2 linked regions of the Drosophila melanogaster genome follow. The protein of the gene in region 2 interacts with the protein of the main gene of each other region in a pairwise test. Each region holds a gene or a part of one and is shown on either strand. Other genes may lie near its edges.

The links. Proteins that work in one complex are often made in the same cells at the same time.
Region 1: the proteins of ksh (region 2) and CG4313 interact in a two-hybrid assay, tested with the Drosophila melanogaster proteins (one large-scale study listed by BioGRID).

What each region holds. Positions count from the first base shown.
Region 1 is NC_004354.4:2,050,614-2,054,369, reverse strand, and holds the start of CG4313 (uncharacterized protein), read right to left. Parts: upstream 1,687-3,756; 5' UTR 1,625-1,686; coding exon 1,065-1,624; intron 554-1,064; coding exon 1-553.
Region 2 is NC_004354.4:19,493,823-19,497,051, forward strand, and holds ksh (kish), read right to left. Parts: upstream 1,171-3,229; 5' UTR 1,081-1,170; coding exon 1,078-1,080; intron 1,015-1,077; coding exon 905-1,014; intron 830-904; coding exon 724-829; 3' UTR 598-723; downstream 1-597. Other genes in the region: CG12204 (uncharacterized protein), read right to left, coding at 1-557.

The DNA.
Region 1 (3,756 bases), about 17 Mb from region 2:
TTCCTTCTCCCGCTCCTTGAGCACCACATTGGCATCAACAGGCGGTGGCTGCTGGTCCTGATCCCTCCTCCGTATGCTGTACGAGATCGGCAGACTGTCCGTCGAAGCATTGTCATCGATATACGCTAAGTTTTCCTCCACCACAAAGGGTCGTCCTGCGATCGGTTCGTTCGCCTCGCCGCTGGACGTGGTCACCTTCTCCGGCTTCTTTGGTGTGGCCATGGCTTGAATCTGATGCTGCGGCGCGGAGCTGGGAGTCACATCGCTGACATTGGTCTTGCCAGCGGTTCCCGCGCGAATGGCCGCCTTTCGCACCAGCAGGAAGATTCGGGCATAACAGATCACGATGCAGATGCACGGCACCATGAAGGCGGCGATGAAGAGGAACTCCTTGGGGGATCTACCATACCGATCATGCATGATGGAACACGAGCCGATGCTGACGTCCAAGCCAAAGATACCCCATACGCCCCGCCAGGTGGGTATCATTATGGAAAACGTGGTGATCCATGTGCCGGCTACCATCAAAGCCAAATATCGTCGCTGGTAAATTCTGGAAGAACGGATTTGAACCAGTGGGAATTGTATTTTGTACCATGTCTAATTTGATAATAATATATGCTCATTGTATTCAAATATATTATTTTAAGATATCCGTAGCTCACGAAAATAAAAACTAGCTAGTTATTTATTTCTCCAGAAATATTGTAGTTCATATTTTATAAGATATTAATTTCCGTTCAGTTTAATTGTTTATTACGAAAATATTGAGATCGCTGAACCGACCTTTTCTATAGCATTTGCCTCTAGCAAGTAATGTTCTCTTTTTTAGTTAATTAAAAAACATCTACGAGAAGCCATACATTTTCCTTTTTATAAACAAGTTCAAAAGTTTATAAGTTCAGAAACACAATAACATATGTGTGGGTTTTTTTCTCAGATTAAGTGGTAGGTTACCATGCGTATCATAATAAACAGATAAGCACCAAGAGGAAGAGTTGGGCACTCTGAATACCCTTCAAGATTTAGGCAGGACATGCCGATATGGGCAGGCCCATTCTCACCTTGGATACTGCCTGGGATGGGCGATAATGATGTACCGGTTGATGGTGATCAGCGACACGGAGAGCAGGGACACCGCCAGCAAGCCGTAGCGCAGCATCGGAAACAACCTGCACAGCAGATCACTATGGGTCCACGCCCGCTCCTTGAAAGTGGACGCGGCCAATGGCAGATTAAAGCAGCCAAAGAGTAGATCCGAGCAGGACAAATTGATTATGAATATGGCCGTGGAGTTGCGGGTTTGACGACCTCGCGACAGGGCCACTATGGTCAGTAAATTTCCGGGAACGCCCACAATGATGAACACTATGCAGGCCACCCAGGCGATGGTCAGCAGCTCGTCCGAATAGCCCTCGAAGAGCACCTGGCGCCTGTCGTCTACATTGAGATTAAGATTCATATTCAGATTGAGGTCCACGTCCACGTCCAGGTCCAGGCTGTCGGAAAGGGGTACCGGCAACACCGCGTCCTGATCCGCCATGTGATCAGTAGCATAGGGATCCGAAAGAGGCAGCGCTATCGAGATCGGATGCGGAGTTGGTCCGGATTTTGGTGGGAACATCGCGCGGCACTTTGTGTTCGGCAAAAGACGCGTTGCTCGTTCCTGCGCCGAATTTGTACTAAAACTGAATTCTCCGCATCCATACACCGACATGGTTCCCACCCAAAAAGTGGGCCCGAAGGCAGTCGCCGCCAGCCAAGCGTACAAAATATTGAGAAAAAAAAAAAAAACAGCAGGCGAACTAGAAAAACTTTCAAAAAGGAAAACAAAAGAATCTCAGAGCAGCAACAGCAGCAACAACACACATTTTTATTGTATACAACAATTGACTTCATCATCGGGTAATTTGGTAATTTGCGTGTGGAATGGGCGCTTTGTTTACATTGTTCCTATTCGGTGTTGTTTCTTAACCGCCCTTCCCGCCCCATTCCGCCCCAATCCACTCGACTCTTTCGCTCTTTCGTCGATATTCTGACGGGGTCATGTTGCTGTTGTTGCCGTTTTTCAAAGTTTCAGATACTAGACCAGGGATACCATTGCCCAAAATGGTTCGACGTTTTAGCTACATACTTGAGCATTCCGACAGCCAGAACATACATACTTGCATTAGACTAGTCTTTGCATCAGTCTGGTGGAATATAAGTCATGAGCAGCATGGGGAAAGTTATCTGCATTGCTAACACAATTCAAGACTTATCACTTGCAATGAAGTAAGAAGTTCCCCTCCTTAATTGATACCTTGACCGATACGTCTTGGATGCTTAAAAAATTCGGTGTGCCAGAGGTTACATGAATATATTGGGAATACAATGAATAAGCTCCTACAGATGAATCGAGTCTATTCGTAGCCCTGATTTCGGGCCATACGCACCTCTCCGGCATTTTTGAAATGAAAAACTTTTCGGTTCCTGGGTCGTGTGCATGTGTGTGTGTGTTTGTGTGTGTGGTTGCATAGTTTCCTCTGGCAATTTTCTGGATAATAAATGGGCGGCATCCATTCGAAGCGAGGAACTGAAAAAAAAAGCAAAACTTTTGCGAGAGGGACTCATTCGAATAAATATGCCTATAGATCGAATTTGTGCGTAGAATGAATACTCCAGTCATGGGCGATTAATCCTGAATCATAACTCGAGACTATGCGTTTTTCACGCTCTCATAACCCGTTTCGAATAATGAGTCAAACCCCGGAAGCCTGGTGTCACACGACGTCAGCGTACATATGTAGTCTTAATTAATCAAGCCAATATGCCGGGGGAAACCTCTCTACTTTTCCGAGGGTCAGAGTGCGGGTCGTCTGTTGGGTCGAATTGAGTATTGTTTGCCTTTTGAAAAGAAAAACAGGCGGTTCTAGGGAAAACTCTTTGGCAACGGCACGAATACGAATACGTTGTTTGTTTTCATGCAGGCCAATAGTCCGGGAATTGCAGCCGACTACCCAAGAAAATAACATTCAGTTCTTGAGGAAATTAATATAATTATAGCGCCATATCGCATTCACTTAAATGACGAGAAATTTTTAAGTTTAAGATCCTAGGAACTGGATGGAATACAATACGTGATAACGAAACATATGGCTCATCCTCGTACTTGCGAAAACATGCGTTTTCATAAAACAATACAAGGCTTTATCGAGCTTAATCTAAACGTATAATCCCATCATTTTTTAAGAAATTAAAAGTGCACTATCCTTGCGCCCACCACTGTACTTGGAAATGCCTGCGGGATGGGCATAAAAGTGGAAACTAAGACCTCCCCCCCCCCCCCACTCATCAACCATTCTTGATATGATTGTGAATACGATTCGAACGCCAATCGACGCCCGCTTCGGATTCGAATTCGGATCCAGAGATCCAGACTAATGTAAACTTCTCCGGCGTACTTACATATACGCCTATACGCATACGCACACGCACGGGCCCATGTTTAGATAGCCATAAACTATCGTGTTCTTCACACAATCCGCAGCAAACAACAAACAATGAGAGTGCGCACAAATCCCTACGTCTTCAGTTCGATATCTGCACCGAAAACATTTATTACCAGGTCACAGTTCCTAATGCGATATGTGCGGTAGCTCCAACCATCAGTTCCTTACCATGCGACAGACCGTTTTTCCCAGTGCAGCCATGTTGGATCGCCTCGATCGATGTCGAATGTCCAATTGTGTAAACATTAGAATGCAGACACATGAA
Region 2 (3,229 bases):
TGCCGCCCGCCGTGCTCCTGTTCCCACTGCTTCTCCAGCGCCTGCATCTGCAGGCTGACTAGCTGGTGCAGCTCCTCGTTGAGCGTGGGCTTGCTCTTGCGGTGGCGCCGATGATTCTTTTGCTGACGCCGGGTTTCGCCCACCACCTCGGCGAAGGCGGTGTTGTCCTGGAACTGCGGGTGCTTCTTGGTGTGCTTTAGAACGTGCTCGTAGATGAGCAGCCGCTGACTCGCGTCGAGTCCTGCCTGCAGATCATCAAAGGAGGCAGCAGGAAGGAGGCGTCGTGCTCTTTCGGTGCCCACAATGCCCTGAATAGTCGAGTCATCGAGCTGGATGCTAAAGTCGGGATTGTTGCTGCATGACGCCGGCAATGGCAATGGCTCTAACACCTCCGATTTAGTTGCGCCGTTTTTGTCCTGTGGTCTGTGGCTACCCGCCCCCATCACCCCGCGCTCGCTCCAACCGAAGCGCTGCAGGATGACGTGGAGACGCCTCCTGCTGGCTGTCACAAAAAGACGCAGCTGTTCTCGCTTCTCGTCCACATCTTCGCCAGACATTTTTAGCCAGCGCGAAACAGAACAGAACAGAACAGCAAGTGTTGGGAAAGCCCGAAATGTGCGGCCAGTGCTGCAGAACGCAGCGTGTATTTACAGTCCTAGAAAGTTTGGAATATCTAATCTATGGTGCCATTCGGCTCCTGGAGGGGATGCGGGATGCAGGAGCTCAGCTCCAAAAGAGAACGGTGAAGGCCATGATCAGGCAGGCGGCTCCTACCCACGGCGACTTGCGCTCCCCAATCCTTGCCAGCTTCCAGAAGGTGCCCATGAATCTGCAAACAGACAGCAGACGAGTGTTGAGTGTGGTAACAATCAGTGGACTGGTCAGGGCGGGAACGGGCACCTACCCGGTCTTGTTGCGGTCTATCAAGCTGGGGAAGAGCGAGCGCAGGTAGGCACAGGTGCAGATCAGCAGCAGGATGACCGACAGCAGGCTGTGGAAGTTGAACAGGGCGCTCTGTGGAGGGAAACGGTGCTAAGTGTACGACGGAGGAGTATCGGTTAGGTGAGCGTTTCAAACCATGATTTAGCAAATCGAAATCCGTGCTTGGCGATAGAATAACAACAAGCGGTAAACTAGTGACGTGCCAGCCGCTCGGCGCAGGCGAACTGGTTCCAAAACTGGAATCTCACGTTTCGACTGATTCGATAGGTGGTTAATCAACTGTTAGAATGATAAGGAATGTTACAATGTTTAGGAGTTAATATAAGAATATATTTATATTAAATACATATTTTGGCGACCTACTTCCATTATCTGGGATGGACATTGGATAAATATTTTACAATAGAAAGTAACAAGCTCTTAGCCAAGTTCCCACAGGGAGCATAAAAACGCCATAGGAAGTATTGAAAAGTGCAAGAGTTTACAAAAGACATCGTATACAAAAAAACGTAAGCTTAATTTCGATAGTATCGGAACTTGTATTGCAATCCAACCGTGGGTCAAGTAAATGAAATAAGATAAGACTTTGTTTCAATTAACGTTGGCAGTGGAGCTTCCCCCAATTGAAATATGTGCCAATGGAATCGGGCTATTAGGTCAAGTGAATTCAATCGACTGGCGCGGAACAGCAATCGATGGGTCCACACTTATCGCACATAGTATCGCATAAACATCGACGCAGTGGGCCACCTCTAGCAATTTGTCTGCAACTTCTAATTCGCTGCGGGTATTTTTTTTGTGTTTGTTGTTACATATAATCCGATCAATTTCGATCGCCCGCTTGGCAAATCAGTGTCTTGCTGTTCCGATTGGTGAGCTTTGGCCAATTCTCGGCGAGCGTCAGTAAATCGTTCGATTTGGCTTTAAGTCCGCCCGTGCTTTTGCGTTTTCCTTGGCTCTTTTCTTCATTTTTGTGGCCCGTTTTCGTTTTCCACTTGGTATCGCGAGGGGATGAAGGAGGGGAGCAGGAGCGGAGAATCCCGACCGAGTGCATCCCCAATGTGTGTGCGTGTACGTCTGTGAATACGATGGTGCTGCCAATGCAATTGTAACTGAGCGCGCTCATAAAAATCAAAAGTATATTTAGATATACATGTACATATATATAATAATCGGATACGTTTTCTCATTGCCCCCCCTGTCGGTGTGTGTGCGTGTGTATTTAAATCAGTAATACAGTGTGTGTGTGACGAGCGCGCTGGGTTTTGTTGTTAAGTGCGAGTGAGTAAGAGAGAGGGAACACGAGCGAGACAGCAGCCGGAGCAACAGAGAGGCAAACAGGAACTGCAACAAGAAAAACAATAACATTCTGTGGCAGCAGCAGCAGCGATGACTTCCAGTCGCTGCACTGGCAAAGCGGTAAGTTCCCGACTGCAATATTAAGCTAAGCTATGATCCGCGAATCGGTTCCTTGCATGTGTATTTATGTAAGTACACACACACACCCGCACGCGCGCCAAACACACGCACTTGCGTGTATCGTTGACGTCGGCGATTACAGCACTGTTAGCTGCTAACAGCACAGTGACGGCCACTCGCATAGATCCGCGCCAAAGTTATCGGAGTGCCCCACTCGAGGGGCGGTAAATCGTGAGTGAAAAGTGTAAAATACAAACAGTATATGCTCTTTTAACCCCACCCCCAATTTTAAAGTGCTACGGTTTAAAGTGCTGCGAACCGGAGGTGAGTTGCATTATTATATCCTCTTCCAGTGCTTTCATGACACATTCACCCATGGACCTACACCCGCGAACACCAAAACACTACGCACATGCGCAGAGCGGCCACCGACACCGATAACACACCAATGCAATGCAAAAAAGTCGCGCTCTAGTGTGCGCTCTTTATTTTTGTTTTTAGTTTCGCTCCACTCTGCCTTCTGTATTCATCGGGTGCATTTATTGTTATCGGTTTCTCTTCCAGCAAAGTCGGTAATCGCTGCGTGTGCCTCGATTCGTAAACGGTAAACAAGCAATATTTTGTTTTTCATGCTGATTATCATGTTGATGAATGAAGGAGCATTTACGCAATTGTTTTGTGAATTTTCCGCTGTACACTGAAAGATTCTCTTTGTGGTTTCTCCATCTCCCTCGCTCTCTCTCGCTGGCCGATGGCCCACCACACAGGCATTCACACACACCACCACCGCGCGCACACACACACATTTACAGTAGGCCGCCATTGCTCTGCTGCGCAGCTTTTACAGTGTTGCATTCTGCCGCGCAGT